Linked DNA regions of Callithrix jacchus. The protein of the gene in region 5 interacts with the protein of the main gene of each other region in a pairwise test. Links are inferred from orthologs where the notes say so. Each region holds a gene or a part of one and is shown on either strand. Other genes may lie near its edges. The genes, in order: LZTS2, MTUS2, LURAP1, CCNDBP1 and THAP7.

Region 1 (3,514 bases), on a different chromosome or scaffold from region 5:
GGGCCCCCAAACAGCTGCGTCAGGCTGCCCTGGCTCCCAGACAGCCCGGTGGCCCGAGGACCCATGAAGCTAGGCAGGGACGGAGCCCCTCGAGGTCTGGGCAGCACTGGCTTGAAGGCTGTTGGGCGGATCAGGATCTTCTCCATGTTCTGAAATGAGGTGCCATGTGACACTGGGGATAAGCTGCCCAATCTTGCAGAGCCCTTATGACACTCCCTGCCCTCCCATCTAGGGTCCCTAATGCCATATAGTCATAACAATTGCAGCCATGGGCGGAAAGCCTCCTGAGTGTCAGCTTTGTGTCAAGCAATTGAAAGGTTCATCCCCATTATCTAAATATTATCACTATCCCCATATCACAGATGAGGAAATGGAGGTTCAGCAAGGTGAAAGGCCTTGCCCAAAGTCAAATGTATAGCTGGTGCAGAATAACCAGAATGTAAGCAACTAGCACGTACTGCACACATGCTACATGCCAGGCACTATACTATACGTTATTTGACCTTCATTTCAGTTATAGAAACTGAGGCTCAGGTTAAGTGACTTCCCTGAGGTCACACAGCCAGAATGAGAGACAGCTGGGACTAGGACCCAGTCTGGTGACTCTGGAGCCCACACTCTTTCCTCGATATAGGCTTCTAAATTCCAGTTTCCCAAGGGGAGCTCCCGATGTTACCCAGGCACACAAGGAAAAGCCAGTCCTCACCTTTTCCAGCTTTCCAGAGACAGGGATGAGCTTTGGTGGTGGGCCACGGAGGTGGGCATTGCGTGCCCGCTGCTCCCGGGGATCCTCCACATCACTGCTTGGGCTGGGGGGTGACTCTGTCCGGAAGTCCTCGTTGACATAGGTGAAGCTGGTGACAGGGACAGCCTTCCTGGGGGGCACAGCTGGGCATAGCGGCTCCTGTGCCTCATAGCCACCCCGAAGCAGGCCATCCTGCTGGCGGAAGAAGGTGGGCCCAGGAGGGCCATGGTGGCGGGGAGGAGCTGGTCCCCCAGGGCAGGGCCGGCCTGAGATTAGGCTGCTCACACTGCCCATGGCTGGTGCTTGTGGGGCAGTGGCAGCTTCAGGAGCAGGTTCCAGTGGCACTGGCAGAGTCTGCACGATGGCCATGGTGGCAGAGGCTCAGGCCTGGCCAGCGGCCTCGCAGGTGACCTGTAAGCAGGGCAGTGGTGTCAGAGTCCCTCTACCTTGAGACCCCTCCTGACCCAGTAACAAGCCCAAGTAACTGATGCCTCCTTGACATCAGTAACAAGCCCTGATCCCCACCGAGACTCCCCCTTCAAGTGCTGGCATGAACCTCAATTCCCCCTGGGCCCCAGACCACAGTGCCCAATGTAGGTCTAAACAGGGCTAAGGATTGAGTTCACTCAGCAGAGATGCTGAGGTAATGACCACAAGGCCACTTGGCAGCAAAGACCCAGGCCCAAGCCCAATCCTGCATCCTCCCCAGAGGCCAGGACTCAGGTGAGGGAGGGGCCCTCTCTAGCAGCTCCCAGCACAGGTCTCTGGCCCTCTGAGCCAGGTGGCCTCATTACAGGGTAGTCTGGGCAGAGGCACCTCAAGGTTGCAATCAGCACCTGAGATGGTAATTAGGGAATAAAGAGCCAAGGCCAGGCAGTGCCCTGCCTCCCCCTGCTGGGCCTCAGTTTCTCCCAGAGAGGCGGCTAAACTGCCTCTCTGTGGATCTGGCTAAATAAGAAACCCATGGCTCTTAGGGAGTCCACAGGTGTCCTTCAGGGTCTCCTGCCTCCCAGAGGTGGATGCAGGCTCATACCAGTTTCCATGACAACTCCTAGCCTCTGCACATCCAATCAGGCCTAAAGGAGCCTCCACAGGCTCTGCCCCACTACCAACCTCTGTGAAACCCTACGGCTTTAGAAGGTCCCCAGAGAAACCCTGAGGGGAGGAAGGTAGATGCCCCGCCTTCACCTTTGTCGGCTGCTCCAAAGCCTCACTTCCAGGGAGCCCAGGCAAGAGGGCTCCACCTCCCCAGGCCCTGCTCCTTCCAGGAAGCAGATGTGAGCCTCCACCCGGAACCCCCTCCCTACTCCCAGTCCTGAGGCCACTGATGACCAGGACTTAGGCATCTGCTGAAGTCATCATGCAGAGCGGGGCCAAGAAGTGGACAGAGAATTGCACTGGGAGTAGGAGTGTGTGCATTTAGTTATTTGTTGTGTGACTACATGCACAGGAGCATGGAAATGAACACCATGTGTATATACGAAAATGTGTGTGAAAATATGAATGTGAGTCTATGCATGTTTGATGTTATCAGCACATTCACACACGAGTTCCCGTGTGAATTCACATGTGTATATCTTACAAAAGTACATGGGTAAGGGGTCATTCTTAGAAAGCCTGTGAAAGTTATAAATGTGAATTTGTGGTGTGTGGATGAGACGGTGCCTGGACAGATGCGTCAGCATATGAGTTTATGTGTGAGCTCCTAAGTGTTTGAGTGTGTGACTAGAAAGGTGAGTGCACCAGGGTGTGCAGGTGAGCCTGTAAATGTGGGCAGGTAGGTACCAGAGTGGTGGGAGCCTGGGTGGCTTGAGGACCAGCTGGTGAAGGGAGCCTCTTTCCTTCCCCCTCTGGCATGTGGGGAGAGGTGGGACATTAACTCCTTTGCCTGATCTGTTCCCCTTCTTTCTCGTATGCGCTCCATTAAATCCACTGCCCTCCTTCCCACCCAAGTCAAAAGACACTGCGAACCAGGAAGAGGTGTTCAGGCTGGGGCCAGAGCTGTGGGGAGCTGGGGGAGGGGTGAGCCAGGCCCAGGGAGCAATCACAGGCCTCTATGCAGGGCTGCAGCTCAGACCACCCCACCGGTCTCAGCCCCGAGCAGAGCAGATAGAGAACCCCTTCCCCTCCCCTCCCGTCTCTGGGTCCACTCCAGGGTATGGAAAGAACAGTGGGGAAGGGACTTAGGGGGCCCAGGGGGCTGGCACCTCTGCTGTATTTCCCCACTTCATCGAGCAGGGAGAAAGTGAAAACTGAAGGAAGGAGACAGACTCAGAGAAAGACAGGAACCCAAAAGAGACAAAGACTCGGAGAGGCCCGAGGGTCAGGCTGACAAGGAGAAAGCCAGGCAGACCCAGTGAGCCAGGGCCCCCCAACCCCATGGAGCCGAGGGCCCCTAAGTCCAAAGTGCCACAGAGCTGGGCCCTGAGAGCCACACACCCAGGGAGCCAGAGCCAGGAGTCTGGAAAGCCAGGCCCAGCCGGCCCGGCTCCCGCTCTTGGAGCCCGAGAGAGAAGGAGGGGCAAGTGGCGGCTCCATTTTGAGAAATGCGTTTGTGGCTGTGGGAGATGGGAACCCCTCATTCTCCTCAGCACTCCCTAAGCAATCACTCTGACCCAGGAGCATCCCCCTTTTAGCGGGCTGTGGGGAGCGGAGGGCTGGAGCTCGTCCAGGGCCGGCGAGGGGTCTGAAGAGTTGGGCAAAGTCTCCCTCCCACCCAAACTCCAAGAACCAGTCAAGCGGGGTCAAGTCTGCGATCACGAGTTCCCG
Region 2 (3,514 bases), on a different chromosome or scaffold from region 5:
TAGGAATATGATGTTATAATCTGCTTTTCTTCGGTTTATCTTATTTCATAGTTTCCCAAAGTACATATATTATTTTTGGTAGTATCAAAAGTGTATTTTTAAAGTAATAATAATAAAGGGAAAAAATAAGAATCTGAGATCCTGGGGCCAACTTCCAGATCAAGATGGGCTGCCCTTGGAAGGAGGCTTCCCTGCCACTCCCTTTGCACACCTTTCTGGGACTCTAGCCCTGGCCAGGGAGGGTGGGGGTGATGGGGGGGTGGGGTGGATGCTTGTGCCCCAGCGTAGGGGGTGAAATCCTGCGTGTTCTGTGTCCCCTAGGGGGTGACTTTTGCCAGCTCTGCAGGAGCCAGGCTGGTGGGCTGAGCTGGGTGAGTGTCAGTGAGAGCAGGGACGCTGTTCTGGGCTGAATGTTTGTGTCCCCCAAAATTCCTGTGCTGAAACCTAACCCCCAAGGAGGCGGAGCTTTGGGGAGGGGATCAGATCCAGAAGGTGAGCCCCTGTGAATGGGATTAATACCCTTATAAAAAGGGCCCCAGGAAGATCCCTGGCCCCTTCTGCCTTGTGGGGACTCGAAGCACTGGGCAGGGGCTCCTTAGCACCATCTCCGGCATCTGTAAAGCGGCTCATGGCAGCAGCTGCTCCACAGGCAGCTGTCGGAGTTAGGAGCAGGCTCACTCAGGGAAAGTGCTCTGTGCAGTGCCTGGGCACTGGAGATGCTGTATCCTGCTGGGTCACCACATGTCCCCAAGACAGGGTGTAGAGACAGTGCAATTGCCAGAAAACCAGGGTGAAGCAGAAAGAGGCCGCCTGTCAGGAAGGTTTCAGAGTTGGACAAGGTGAGGCCACCTCTAAGATTTCTTATCAGAGCTCCTGGCTTCCCAGGAAAGGCCAGCCATGGGATTTTCTGCTTAGGTATAAGCAATGGGCAGGTAAGGGACACACCTGGCCGAACACCATCAGCAATGACATCAGGAACGACAGGAGGAGCGTCATGGAGGTTAGTCACTCCCATGCAAACAGACCAACTCACCAGCTTTTCCAGCTCAAGAATCTTCTTTTCCTGCTCGTGTATTTGCTGATTCTTCATCTCTAATACCTGCTTCAGACTCTTCATGTCTTCTTCCAAGTGCTGATAAGGAGCCAGTGCAATCTACAGGGGCAGAGAGCCATAAAATGTTGACCGGGGCTCCCGGCAAAACCCAGTATTAACCAATATCACTAATCCAGCTAAATCCAGCCTCTGGACCAACGCCCCAATAGCAATTGCACAGCAAAGACAGAGGATGCTCGCAGTCTTCCCTGATGAAGGGGTCCTGCTGCTTCCCCCTGGGAACCCATTCTGTGCGGGAGCAGGTGACACACAGCCATCGTCCACTGGGAAGTTTGATTCCGGAAATGCTGGATGCTGCCAGCCCATGCCCAGCAGGGAACTCATGGGTCGAAAGAGTAAACCCAACACTAGCCTTTAACATTCACCTGGATGACTGGTAGCTGGGGCTCTTCTGGGTCCCACCTATACCCATAAAGAGCCCATGCACAGGAAATGAGCAGAGTGGCTTAAGAAGCAGAAAAGCCATTTTGGAAAAAGACACATTACAGTAGTGCTGCTGGATATAGCAAATTAAAACATGGTATGTCCTGTTAAATTCAAATTTCAGATAAAGCACGTTTTAAAAAAGTGAGCACAAGTATTGCTTGGGACATACTTAGACTCAAAAATTTATTTACCTGTAATTCAAATTTAACTGCGTGTCTTGTATCTTATTTGGCAACCCTACGTTAGAGAGAAGGAGTTTTGCCAGATTTCCTGAAAAAAATTCCCCTCAACCTATTAACTCCTGCTGTAGCCAAGGCTGCCCGTGTCAGCCTAAAAAGCTGGGGGAGAATGAGATGGAAGGGGTGGTCGGGCAAGGGTCGGGGGTTGCCGGACCATGCTGATCACAGGGGCCCCGGAACCTCGGCTGGGCAATGCTGTGGAATTTGGCAAAAATAACACGTAGCTGGAGAAATCCACAGCTGCTGTCTGACTCTGGGGAGATGTGCTGACAGAAATTGTTTACAAATCCAGGGGAGGTCGTGACCAGCTGTCACTTCAGCAAGGGATTCACAGAGAGGCCTTGTCTTGGGACAAGACTGCTGAGGGAGTCCCGTGGCCTGGGGCTGGAAGCCTGGAATCCCGAAACTACCTCCAGCTGCTCCTCCGTGCTCTTCCTCAAGGCCTCTTCGAAGCGGCGTGCTCTGTCCCGCAGAGACTGGCTCTGGAAGGTCAGCGTGTCCACCTGGTCCTGGAGTAATGACATGAGGAGTCCAGCTGGGGGCGCTACAGCCTGCCGCTGCCACAGCTGGGGCAGCTTCAATCAGCAGGCCACCACTTTCTTCAGCATCCTTAGAGTGTCTCCCTTGGGACTGAAGAAAGAGGTGCCCAAGGGGACCCCCAAAATCACATGATGGGCATGGTTTCCCCCAACGCCTACCCGTGGCTTGCCCTTCTTGGCTCTTTGTCAGGAAGAAACCACAAAAACACTGTGAACCGGGGGGCATCTCACAACATCTGATCCTATAGAAGCAGACAATCCTCAGGGAGAGGCGTCTGGGCCAGGAGGCACCCAGCCCTGGCTTTGGGAAGGACCACAGTGAAGGTACTTCAAAGAATCATTCTCATTTATGAAGCTCAATCCAGAACCCTTCCAACCCTCCTTCACTTCTTTCTCTGCCTTGGGATCCCTCTCACATCACCAAACCTTCTGGCCACCGAGCCCTGCTATCCTGCCTCCTGAATGTCCCTAGAAGCCACAGACTCCCCTGAGCTCAGCCACTCGGCTGGCTCCATCCTGACACGATTCTTCTTTCTCCTGAAGTATCACTCCTTTACCCTCACGCTGCAGTCAAGCCCTCTTTCTAATGTGCAAAGCGGAACCTGTCCTTCCCCGACCTCCTACCCCACTGCCCTCAAGGTGCCGTGTACACTCCCTAACGCAGCACCCTCCCGCCTCGCTGCCTCCCTCTCCTCTCACGCCAGCTCTCCTGCTGGCAGTGCCCTCCTCCAGCCAGCTGCCTCTCACTCCTGCTTCATTCTGGCTCCCACGCAGCCTTCCTGGCCTGACAGCTGGGTTTCATGTCCCTGATAGGAGCTCACATGGAAGCTGAGTCCACACAGTCTCCTCCTCCCTGCTGAGACCCGCTCCCTGGCCAGACTGGCACTCCCAGCCCTCTGCCTTCCCATGCCCGTCAGCTAGGGGGGCAGCTGGCGGCTCTCCACCTGCAGGTTGAAGGAAAGCAGGAGTGTCTATGGGGACACCATGCCCCTTCCCCAGCTCCCAGGGCAGATGCACCTGCGCTGACTCTGTCCCACTCAGCCTGCCCATGACTCCCCACACCACAGGCTGGCAAAGGACCACTGATGCCCAAGAAGCGCTTCACCCTTCGTGTCTCACTCATGCAGACCAGTCCAAAGCTCTGTTACAGCACCATTTCTGTAACATCAAAACACGGAAACTAGGGTGTCCCGTGA
Region 3 (3,958 bases), on a different chromosome or scaffold from region 5:
GCCTATTGGGAGTGGGCCTAGAGGTATGAAAGGGTAGATAGAGCAGGAGTAACTATCTTCTCATTGTAAATCCTTCTGCAACCATGGACTGGAATTTCTTGAATTAAAAGACCAAACAAACCAAAGTTTTCATGGCTGTTCACTGCCTGTTAAATAAAATCCAAACATCTCAGAACCATCTTCTGTAACCTTGTTACTCAAAGTGTGGTCCCTTATTACTTGAAGTGTGGACCAGCAGCATGGCCATCACCTGAGAGCTTATTAGAAATGCAGGATCTTAGCCAGGTGCAGTGGCTTACATCTGTAATCCCAGCATTTTGGGAGTCTGAGGCAGGTGGATCATTTGAGGCCAGGAGTTCAAGACCAGCCTGGCCAACATGGTGAAACCCTGTCTCTACTAAAAATACAAAAAAATTAGTCAGGTGCGGTTGCATGCCTGTAATGCCAGCTACCTGGGAGGCAGAGGCAGGAGAATCGCTTGAATTCAGGGAGGCAGAAGTTGCAGTGAGCCGAGATCACGCCACTGTACTCCAGCCTGAGTGACGGAGCCAGACTCCTCTCAGAAAAAAAAGAAAAGAAAAAAATGCAGGCTCTCAGCCACCACCCCAAATTTACAAAATCAGAATCTTTATTTTAACAAGATCCGCAGATAATTCATATGCAGTCAAGCTTAAGGAGCATCTTGCTTATAAGCCCAATGTGGACCTCTTCAGCTTCGATAGTGGTTGCCCCTTTCTACTCCGTTAGTCTGAATTCTAGCCCCTGCGGTGTGTGTGTGTCTAGCTAAAATCCAGCTGCCGTTTTAGAGCTAGTTCCTCTGCTCCAGGAAGACTTCCAAGCCCTCTGCAGCTCTCTGTTACCACTGTTCCTTAAACTCCCACATCTCTGACTGACTGAAGCTGCTTAGGCTTCATTCTGCAAACATGTATTGGGCGCCTGCTGTGTGCCTGGCTGGATTCAGTGCCAGGATGGGGTGAAGGCGCTGAGGTCTCCGAGTGCTCTTTCAGGTTCAAATCCAGAATCGCCCAGCCCCACGCAATCCGGGGCCAGAGGTTGTGCGCAGCACTCGAATATATATCTACAGGCGGTGCTGCGCGGCTTTTCTGAGTGTTACGGCGCCCTCCTCCCACCCCCGCACCGTGCGGGCGGGGACCCACGGTTTCTGCTCCGCATTAGCTTCGGCGAAGGGAGGACCACCGGGAGCTGGTCCCGGGCGTCAGGTCGTCCGGCCCTTTTCAGGCTTGGGCCCGCATGGAGGGTACCGTGGAGTTCCAGACGCCTGATCTGCGGGATGTGGAGGGTAAGGTGGGCAGGAAGACCCCTGAAGGGCTGCTCCGCGGGCTGCGAGGCGAGTGTGAGCCGGGAACCTCTGGCGCCCTGCTGCTCCCAGGGGCGCCTAGCACCGGCCACGGCTTGGGGGACAAGATCATGGCGCTGAAGATGGAGTTGGTGAGTGCAGACTCCATGGACCAAGGGGACGAGTCCCCAGTGTAGGGCCGGGAGGGACAAACTCACGCTCCCAAGTTAGGCTGGAGAGGAGGTAGTTAAAACTCTCCATCTAACTGCTCAGAATCCCTCCCAGATCAATCAGTAAGCGCTGGGGTGGAGGTGGAGTGACGTCCATTAATTGTCCCCCAAGAGTGAGTGGGGTGTTGATGGGTCCTGAGGACTTGGGGTGGGAGACAATGGTTCTTGGAAGTTATTCCTGCCAAATAATTGGGAGGAGAGAGATGAGGACGGAAATACCGAGAACCCAACGCAGCACAAATTCCCCCCGCCCGTCTGGGCCACCTTTTCCCCGCCAGTCCCCGTTGTAAGGCAACCAGTTTTTTCTCCTGCTAACCGGGAAAGGGTTTAGTTTCTGTGAGACCGCAGTGTTCAGCACAGGGTTAAGGGGTATATCTGCTGAAAACTACCTGGACTAGGAGCATTGAAAACCTCCTCCGTTTCCCCTGCATCTCCCAGCCCTACTTAAAATAATGGAAAGTTCTTAAACCTATAGCAGGGACAGAGAGTAGCAGCACCATTGGTGCCGATTCCCTCACCTCAGACTCAGTCTCCTCCCAGCCAATCTCCCAGGTAAACTGGATATTTGGATCTCATCTGTACATTCTTAGGGAGAAGAGGAAACAACAACCCTCCACTCTCTCTGTTTCTGCTGGTCTAGATTCAAAGCCAAAAGGGCAGCTGGGGCCCTGGCAGGCTCCCCAGAGCCCTGATTCCCATGAAGTAGGTGATTTATACCTGCCACTACTTTGCATCCAGCTCTGGGGAACTGAGGAATTGCCATTGGCTCCCTGGCTCACAGCCAGGAGCCCACGGTGAAGTTCCTCAGCTAATAAGTCTTACTGGAGCCCCCACTGTGTGCCCAGCCTGTGCCAAGCTGGTCTGTGAAGCATCAGGAGAAGGAAGTCATGGAGGTTCTGAGACCAGCAAGGGCTCTGATGCCTGAGCTGAGAGGCTGGGAGGAGAGTCTGGTGGGTGGAGCAGTCAGGGAAGGCCCCCTGGGAGAAGGACATGAATGCCAAGTGTGCACTTGGCCTTGAAGGTTGGAGGTGAGTGCCAAATTCTCCAGAGCAAGGCTGTGACTGTACTCACCTAAGCGGGGAGAGTGGGCTTGGCTTTGCCTCATTGTACAAACTTTAGCTCAAGGCCCTATCTAGACTGTCTAGTTGTTTTGAAAACTAACTTTCACCCAGCACATGTGCCAGGCAGATTGCTGAGCACTTTACATGATACTCTCTTCATCTCCACAGTAACCCTGTTAAGTAAGTGATATTTTATAGATGAAGAAACTGAGGCACGGGGTGGGCATGGTGGCTCACGCCTGTAATCCCAGCATATTGGGAGACTGAGGCAGGCAGATTGCTTGAGCCTAGGAGTTTGAGACCAGCCTGGGCAACAAAGTGAGGCCCTGTATCTATAAAAAATACAAAAATTAGATGGGCATTGTGGTGCATGCCTATAGTCCCAGCTACTCTGGAGGCAGAGGCAGGAGGATTGCTTGAGCCCAGAAGGAGGAGGAGGTTGCAGTGAGTTGAAGTCGCACCACTGCATTCTGGCCTGGGTGACAGAGCTCAGAGCTAGATCCTGTCTCAAAAAAAGAAAAGGAAGGAGGGAAGGAAGAGAGGACGGAAGGGAAGAAAAAAGAAGAGAAAAGAAAAAGTAGAGGGACAGCGAATTTAAATGACTACCCACAATCATGTAAAAAGCAGGGCCAGGATTTGAACCCAGATCTGCAGACTGCACTTTACATCTTTATCTTTGAGACCTACTTTGTGCCAGATATTCTAAAGACATTTTATGTCATGGAAATGAGAAAACTGGCCATCATTTCTCCCATCTTGCAGATGAAACATTCTTGCAGATTTTGGGGGTTTGTTTGAACTCACATAGGGAGTCACTGGAAGAGCCACGCCTAGTCTCTCTGGCTCTAACTCTTTTCTGCCTTGGTGGAAACTATCTGTAAACTTTAAGGGGCTGCATTTAACTTCTGATTTTGTCTCTGTATTCTTGACCCAGCTTGCCTGGGGCCTGAGGCTGCCCGAGGAAGGATACAAGGCAGGGAGCCTTCTGGGGCCAGAACAAGGAGAGATCCCCACCCTATTTCTTCTCCCTCCTCAGGCCAGGATGTTATTAATATTAATCTCCTTCTGTGCTCTGCCCTGCCTACTGGGTTGCACCCAGGAAGGACAAGGGGTGGGGCAGAGGATTTTCTTTGGAGCCACTGAAGGCAGGCCTGGTTCAAGTCCTCTAAGGCTGTCCTTCAATTGTTCCTCTCCCAGCTCTCCTTGCACAGAGGCGAGGCTGAAGGCCTACCCTTGAGGCCAAGGTCAGTCCTGCCACTAGGCCTGTTCTCTCCTGCTTTCTTCCTCTACCCCCCATTCAGAGGTTAAGTGAACAAGCCAGACTGGGATATGTGGGAATGGGAAACAGTAGCAACTTTTCTTAGTTCTCC
Region 4 (3,514 bases), on a different chromosome or scaffold from region 5:
AAGTATTTATGAGTGAATGTCATTGCTTTCTGCAATTTACTCTCAAAACATTCTGGAATAAACATGAAACATCTATCTTTTGAGAAATAAACCAATATAGGAAAAAATGTGAACAACAGGCAAATCTAATAGAAGGATGTAGGGGTGTTCACTGAAGTACTTTTTAAACTTTCCTATATGTTTGAAAACTTTCAAAATATAAATAAACTGGGAAGAATCCTTGGGGTGACAGCACAAAATGAGATCAGAATGCTGCTGCTCAGATGTTTCAAGTGGGGCTCACACTCACCTAGGGCTGATTTCATCAGAAATATCCACAATGTCATCCAGCTGTGCAACCTGATCCTTCTTCCCATTCTCTGCCACTAAGATCCGGATTTTCTTCAGGCAGGCTTTGGATGCTCTCACCAGTGCAAGGCATGGGATTATGAGTTCTTGATCATCCTCTGACCAATACAAGTCCTGATTGCTTGGAAACCCCAACACATCATCCTCATCATTGTGGTTGTCGGAGTTGTTCTCCTCAGTATCATTCAAGAGGCCAGAGTAAGGGTCGCATTCTTCCACAGCCTAAGACATACCATGATGTACATGCAAAAAAAGAAAAAGAATAAAAAAGGGGCCTATTATACTTTTAGCACCATGCCTTAGTTGTCCAAAAACCTTAGCCAGCCACTTCACTAATGGCTACAGAGTTGAATTACTTCACAAACCCTGTTTTCGCTCTCCTTGTCCAGTAAGGGAACAGAGAGGAGTGGTACTAAATCACACACTAACAAGGAGGGACAGATGGAAGACAGAGGACAGTAGTGAGAATAAGATCTATCTGGTCAATGCTTAGGGAATCTCTCTTTATAATCAACTATCATCTACTAGTCAAAGAGTTGCCTTCCAACGATGAAGTTCCCCTGACCCGCTCCATTTCTTCATATGCATCCTTCACAAAGTCCACATTCTTGGTCAGCATCAAAAGAGCTGCAGCTTTGTTATCTATGAGTGAAAGATCAGAGGCACTACAATTAGATGAGAAACCCAACAATTTTCTTAAAACTGCAAAGGACAACCACACTGTTCCTAATGAAGGCGGTGCCAAGGATGGTTGACAAGGGTGGTGGTTTAATCTAAAATTCTTCTCACTACATCCCCTGGTATCTAAACAGGAGTTTAAAAAGCTTGTATTTTATTTACCACAAGAAGAAATGATATGGTCACATGATGTTTAACATCATGGTCCTCTTGGACAACCACTGTTTTGGCCTAGCTGGCTCTACCTCAGAACTGCTTCAGTGTGTTCCGTAATACTACTCTTGGGGTAGGACTACGAAAACAAACTGTATTTGTTCAACCTAAAGAATGACAGAAGTATTAATACCTATCACTTTTGGTAATATAATATATATATTTCACTAGACTGTTTATATAAATTCAAATATACATGTTATAAAGCAGGAAGAGGTCTCTCTGCTTTGGCCAGCAGACATGGCCCACTTCCCATTTTCACTCACCTCTTGGTATCTTAGGCATCTGCTGGCATGCAACCCAGACACTGTTGTAGGAAATAAGGTCATTGTTCTCAGGGCTGGGGAAAGAAATCAGTATGGATATATCAATAACCTAGGTTCCTGTCTCGTAAAAAGCTCCTTCCTGCTGGTCATTACTCTCAGCTGTCAATAACTTTGCTGTTAAAATGAGCTTTTCCCCTCTCAGGCAATGAACCCCAATAAATGATAACCTAAACTGTGGCATCACTACCTCTGAGTTGGAGTGATGGAAAGTACTTCCATGAGCTGAGCCATGCCATCCACGATGTCCAGGGTGGCGCCCCGGATCAGCTTTCTCAGAGTGATTCCTGTGGCCAAACCCAAAGAATAAGCAGTCTGGTGTTCTTTTCAGAAGCAGCATCTGCTTTCCCAAGTCTAAGTATTACAGAATATAAGATAATGTACATCCACATGCTTTAACCTACATGCTAACACAAAACTCAGGTCTTACTTACATCCCCATGACATTTTCTTGCCCCTCCTGCCATTTCTTAGTGTTTTCTTCAAAAGAGATTTGGAACAAAATCTTTCCATGACACCATGTATTCATTCATTAAAGACCATGACCTCTTAACAACTGTAGATGAAACACTTGAAGTTTAAACCACTTGAGTAGTAACCCTGAAGATCCATGACATGTATTCAGTTATAATTTTGGCATGATTATAATCAACGCATGATTCTACAGGCAGGGCTGGAGGCCATTTAACCTATGAAGATGTTCCAAAATAGGGTGAGATATAACATGGGTGGAGGAGAGTAAGGATGACCTGAGCCTTCATATGGGGCTGAGAGCCAGCCAGTATCTGTGGTGTTAAAAATGGGTTTGAGAGGGAGGAGCCTGTGAGAATTAAAAGCCGTAAGAGTCATTCAAGGCAGGGGAGATGGGAAGTAATAGAACAAAGCATCTGTATCTTAGAATAATGGCTTGTTTATAGAAGTTATTTACATTATAAAATTATCTTTGTATTTTATGGGAGAAAGTTACATGTTCAAGTTGAGTAAAGGTAAAAATCACAAGACATAATCCACAATATCAGCAAAGATCTACACTATAAATGCAACACTTATATGGCTTACCCTGATCCTTTGGAAATAAATAATATACTGCAATAAATGCCTTGATGGCAGCATGGACTTGTTCACAGAACTTCTGGGTTTCCTATGAAAAAGGAAACAGATTAGATCATAATCCTTCTACTGTGGAATAGAGCAAATATTTTTCTTCTTCTTCTTTTTTTTTTTTTTTGAGACAGAGTCTTGCTCTGTCAACCAGGCTGGAGTGCAATGGCACAGCCTTGGCTCACTGCAACCTCCACCTCCCAGGTTCAAGCAATTCTCCTGCCTCAGCCTCCCAAGTAGCTGGGATTACAGGCACCTGCCACCACACCTGGCTAATTTTTGTATTTTTAGTAGAGATAGGGTCTTGCCATGTTGGCCATGCTGGTCTTGAACTCCTGACATTGGGGGATCCACCTGCCTTGGCCTCTCAAAGTATTGGGATTACAGGCATAAGCCAACATGTCCAGACTAGAATAGATATTTCTACAGCATTATCAAACATTTTCTGAAGTCCTGGTATGAAGTTAGGCCTTCTGCTATACTGATCACATACCAAAGAGGAGTTAGCTATATAGTATACACTGGGCTGACAACTCGATAAACCATTACGAAACAGCAGGAAAAACTTATTCCTGATACTCTGTGTCCAAAGATATTCATGATATCTTAGACCAGCAGTTGGCAAACTGTGGTCCACAGGCCAACTCAGGCCCCACTGCCTGTTTTTGTAAATAAAGTGTATTGGGACACAGCCATGCTCATTAGTTTAAATGTCTGTAGTTGTGTTTGCTCTACAAGGGCAGAGTTGGGTAGCTGGTTACAAAGTCTAAAGTATTTACTAACTGGTCCTTTACAGAAAAGAGAGAGAGAGAGACAGAACAACTGATGGACCAGCCTCTATATTAGTCCAT
Region 5 (3,908 bases):
GCCACCGCGCCCGGCCCCGTTTTTCAAATAGAGACAGCAGTGAAGGGAGCAGCGAGGGGGTTGCCCTGTTTACCCACCAGGCAGATGAAGTCTGTGGACAAGCCTGTCATGCACCTGTTTGAGAACTGAATCCAGACTGGGTTTTAGGAGTGTTCTCAAAGGGGCTGGCTGACTTAAATTGGGGCTGTTTCAGATCCTGTGGAAGGGGTGCCTTGAACTGCTTTCCTGGCCCCTACTCACAACATCCTGCCCCCTACTCACAACATCCTGCCCCTTCAGAAAACTGTGGGGCATGGAGCTGCAATGGCTGGCTGCTACCGGTCTACCAGAAGCTCTGAGGGGTGAAAGCCAGGCTTTCTGCTCTCCCTGGCGAAGAGCTTGGACTGAGCTCTTCTGAGAGCAGAGCTGAGAGTGAGCCCTCTGGGAGCTGCAGCCACTGTCTGGGGGCAGCAAGCTTAGTACCCAGAGGGGCTCCAGCCCCCAGCTGAGCCAGACAGCAGGGCCTCCTTCTAGAATCCACTTTATTATGGCACCTGGTGGTTATGGTGGATTCTGAGGGAGAAGGAGGCTGCACCCTTGCTAGGCAGCCCCTCGGTCAGTCCAGTGGCCCCTCCCTCAGGCTATGCTGTTGCTCAGCTGCATGGCAAAGTCCTGTACATGCTCCTTCAGAGTCTGGCGGGCATCTGCCTGTGCCCGCTTCTCCCGTGCCCGCTCCTGCTGCAGCTTGGTCAGTCTCAGCCGCAGCCGCTGCTCCCGTCGCTTGCAGGCCTGCAGCTGGCGCTGGGCCTTGTCGAGGGCATCAAGAGCTGCCTCAGCTCGCCGCTTCCAGAGCAAGGCGCTGCCCACCTGGTAGCTGTGTTCATTCTGGATGTAGGCTCCGGCGGGTGGCGGCAGGCGCAGCATGTAGGCTGAGGGGGAGACTGGCCGTGGCTCGAGAGGGGAGGGCTGTGGCTCTGGTGAAGGCTGGGCACTGCAGCCTGCTTCATCTGCCTGGGCACCCAGGGGGCCCAGAAGGTCTGAAAAGGGGCTGCTAAGGCCAGGCTCCAGCCTCCCAGCTGGGGAGGCTGGCAAAGTGGCAGGTGCTGAGGCCTCTTCCACAGGAAAGCAGGTGACATCAGCAGGTGGAGGTGGAGAAAATGGAGTTGTGGGCCCTCGGCCCTCGGAGCAGCTGGTAAGGGGGAAGAGAGAGGCTGATGGGCTAGGCTGAGGGCCTGCCAGACCCCACTCCACCAGCCCACCTAACCCCCCAACACCCAAACCTGATCCACAGGTTCTGTGCAGCAAGAACCCTGTCCGGCTAGACTGCTGGCAGATGACCCAGAGCCCAGTCCCTTGGCCTAGGGGTGGGAGTGGGGCTTTCCCCACCAGTACCACATACCGCTTCCTGCATCGCCTGAGCCGGGTGACTTCAGTGGGACCAGATGGGTAACTGTGCCCCTTGGTCTTGGATGTCCGGCGCAACTTGGAGAAAGACTCGAATATGGTGGGGACTGCTCCCTCCTTTAGCCTGTGATACCCGCTGTGGGGAAAAGCAGCCCAGATGAGCTGGAGAGCAAGTGCTGCCTCCCCGAGCCAATGTACCCCCGGCACCCTGGAACAGCTTCCCCAGCACTAGCGCCGTGGGAGGCTGGAAAGCATCGTGCAAACAGTAAGTCTCAGGGATGCCAAGTTAGAGCTACACCAATCGCTTCCCTGCAGTACTCCTCAAAGTCGAGGTGTGTGGAAAGCCTGCACAAGCAGAGCTGGGCTGACCTGCCAAAAAGAATTCTTTGATTTGTGGACTCGCTGGCAGGACTGGGGCTCTGAAGAACACTCTCTGGAAAGGCTCATGTTTTTCCCTTGTGTCACTGGCAGTGATCCTGGGGGAGGGTTTCATTGTACAGAGCTCGGAAGAGGATACAGACCCCTTGGAAGCAGGTCGGCCTGCCTGGCAGGCTGCTCAAGGGACTTCCAGGACCTGCAGCTGCCCCAATCCGCCTGAAGCTCCACATCCTACCCCAATGTTGGCTGGCAGGGAGGCCCACCTGATTCCCACCAGCTCAAAGCAGTTCTCCTCAAAGTGTTTGGAGCAGAAGTAGATGTACTCGGATGCTGGGTCCCACAGGCCCTGGCCGCTGGGGTCCAGCCGCTGGCAGTTGGCCAGCCACAAGCCTCGCCTCGGGTTGTCCTTCTTGGGAAGTCTGTGGAGCCACAAACCCATGAGCAGTAGACTGTCCGCAGCCCTGGGCTCATGCTGCCCAAGCTCCCCGCTGGGGAAAAGCAGACCCAACACGCACCGCCACGAGACCTCCCTGCGACCCCGCCGGGTAAGCACCACCCGCCCGGGCACAGACGAAGCAATGGAGGCCTAGAGAAGAAAAGCAGTTTGCTCAGCGTCATCTGGCAGGTAAGAGTCAGAGCGGGGCAGGTCCGAGGCTAGACTTCCCGTTCTCCCCTTCCCGACAGCACTTGGTCCCACTGGGACCATCCCGCTTCACTTCCCACCCACAGGTTCAAGGTTCCTCAGGACCCGAGAAAGGCGCGAAGCGTCTACACAGTTGCGGCCCAACGAGGCGCGCAGCAACCAGCGCATGCGCACGTCAGCCCGCGCACGCGCGCCGACCTGTGGAAGGAGATGCCGCGGCTGCGCGTCTCGCGCGTGTCCCGTGTGCAGCAGCCGGCGGCGGAGCAGTGACGCGGCATCTAGGGAAGAGGCGGGAGTTAAGTCGCGAGTGGCTGTCTGGGGATCCAGAGGAGCCTCGCGCCTTCAGCCGCCGCTCCTCCCCAGGGGGGTTCTGGCCCGTGGAGTCTACCCCGGCTCCCGGCTTGTTCTCGCCCCACCCAGTCCCAGCCGGTTCTCTAGACTCCCGTCAGCAGCACTCACGATCTGTCCATTGCTGCGCCGCCGAAGTCTCGCGAGGGGTGGCGCGCGCCGGAAGTTGGTACCATAGAGACTGGAAAGTCGGCGGTGCTCCGCCCTTAGGGCGGGGCGGGGCGGGGCGAAGTCCTATTGAGTTGGATTCGGAAGCGGTGCGAGCGTGCGAGTTCTAGTCGCGCCTGCGTCGTCTCCGTTCCCAGACTACCAGTGTTGTCACACACGTGGGCTCCTCTTTCGTCCGTTCAGGGCTCACTCTTCTCTGTAAACACCCCGGCACGATGGAGCGACCCCAGTGTACGGGTCGGCCTGGGAGCGGATGGCGGCGGTGCCCTGGGAACCTCGAAAGCCGCGGGGGCGACAGCTCGCCTCGGAAAGACTTGACTGAAGAAAGAAAACGGGGCCTGGGACGCTTGCCCAAGAGAACCTGACAGAAACCAGAGCCTGCACTCACTGCCGAGTACCGGGGGACTTGAGGGAGGGCGAGGAATGCCCCAGACTACACTGGGGACGTGCGCTGGGCAGGAGGTTTCATTGTAGCCACTTTGGGGGCGTGACGGAGTCGGGAAGAAGCTGAGGATGCGGGTGGAAAGGTAGCGTCAGGAACTGCAGTGCTCAGCCTGCGGAGTCCTTGGACACATGATCCGGCGGGCTGCCTAACCTGAGCCCTCACCTCTTCCCCTAAGACTCAGTGAAAATAGCCACTCCATTTAAGGACTTCAGAAGGTTTAAATGTAAAATAATAGGCCAGGCGCTGTGCCTTACGCTTGTTAATCTCAGACTTTTGGGATGCTGAGGCAGGCGCATCACGAGGTCAGGAAATCGAGACCATCCTGGCCAACATGGTGAAACCCCGTCTCTGCTAAAAATACAATAATAATAATAATAATAGTAATAATTGGGTGTGGTGGCATGCGCCTGTAGTTCCAGCCACTCCGGAGGCTGAGGCAGGAGAATCGCTTGGACCCGGGAGGCAGAGTCTGCAGTGAGCCTAGATCACGTCACTGCACTCCAGCCTGGGCGACAGAGTGAGACTCCGTCTGAAAAGACAAAA

Evidence for each region.
Region 1: the proteins of THAP7 (region 5) and LZTS2 interact in binary tests that used the Homo sapiens proteins (3 or more experiments, as listed by UniProt). The two-hybrid records come from large-scale screens. The link is inferred for Callithrix jacchus from reciprocal best matches to the Homo sapiens genes THAP7 and LZTS2.
Region 2: the proteins of THAP7 (region 5) and MTUS2 interact in binary tests that used the Homo sapiens proteins (3 or more experiments, as listed by UniProt). The two-hybrid records come from large-scale screens. The link is inferred for Callithrix jacchus from reciprocal best matches to the Homo sapiens genes THAP7 and MTUS2.
Region 3: the proteins of THAP7 (region 5) and LURAP1 interact in a two-hybrid assay, tested with the Homo sapiens proteins (2 studies listed by BioGRID and IntAct). The two-hybrid records come from large-scale screens. The link is inferred for Callithrix jacchus from reciprocal best matches to the Homo sapiens genes THAP7 and LURAP1.
Region 4: the proteins of THAP7 (region 5) and CCNDBP1 interact in binary tests that used the Homo sapiens proteins (3 or more experiments, as listed by UniProt). The two-hybrid records come from large-scale screens. The link is inferred for Callithrix jacchus from reciprocal best matches to the Homo sapiens genes THAP7 and CCNDBP1.

What each region holds. Positions count from the first base shown.
Region 1 is NC_133513.1:93,956,890-93,960,403, reverse strand, and holds part of LZTS2 (leucine zipper putative tumor suppressor 2), read right to left. Parts: intron 1,157-3,514; 5' UTR 1,115-1,156; coding exon 707-1,114; intron 150-706; coding exon 1-149. UniProt on the Homo sapiens protein: Negative regulator of katanin-mediated microtubule severing and release from the centrosome. Required for central spindle formation and the completion of cytokinesis.
Region 2 is NC_133506.1:148,703,550-148,707,063, reverse strand, and holds part of MTUS2 (microtubule-associated tumor suppressor candidate 2), read right to left. Parts: intron 2,289-3,514; coding exon 2,190-2,288; intron 1,154-2,189; coding exon 1,034-1,153; intron 1-1,033. UniProt on the Homo sapiens protein: Binds microtubules. Together with MAPRE1 may target the microtubule depolymerase KIF2C to the plus-end of microtubules. May regulate the dynamics of microtubules at their growing distal tip.
Region 3 is NC_133508.1:82,977,107-82,981,064, forward strand, and holds the start of LURAP1 (leucine rich adaptor protein 1), read left to right. Parts: upstream 1-1,157; 5' UTR 1,158-1,251; coding exon 1,252-1,449; intron 1,450-3,958. UniProt on the Homo sapiens protein: Acts as an activator of the canonical NF-kappa-B pathway and drive the production of pro-inflammatory cytokines. Promotes the antigen (Ag)-presenting and priming function of dendritic cells via the canonical NF-kappa-B pathway.
Region 4 is NC_133509.1:30,928,586-30,932,099, reverse strand, and holds part of CCNDBP1 (cyclin-D1-binding protein 1), read right to left. Parts: intron 2,704-3,514; coding exon 2,622-2,703; intron 1,850-2,621; coding exon 1,753-1,849; intron 1,580-1,752; coding exon 1,506-1,579; intron 991-1,505; coding exon 914-990; intron 571-913; coding exon 290-570; intron 1-289. UniProt on the Homo sapiens protein: May negatively regulate cell cycle progression. May act at least in part via inhibition of the cyclin-D1/CDK4 complex, thereby preventing phosphorylation of RB1 and blocking E2F-dependent transcription.
Region 5 is NC_133502.1:193,118,802-193,122,709, reverse strand, and holds THAP7 (THAP domain-containing protein 7), read right to left. Parts: upstream 2,582-3,908; 5' UTR 2,573-2,581; coding exon 2,489-2,572; intron 2,348-2,488; coding exon 2,025-2,347; intron 1,520-2,024; coding exon 1,379-1,519; intron 1,169-1,378; coding exon 616-1,168; 3' UTR 504-615; downstream 1-503. UniProt on the Homo sapiens protein: Chromatin-associated, histone tail-binding protein that represses transcription via recruitment of HDAC3 and nuclear hormone receptor corepressors.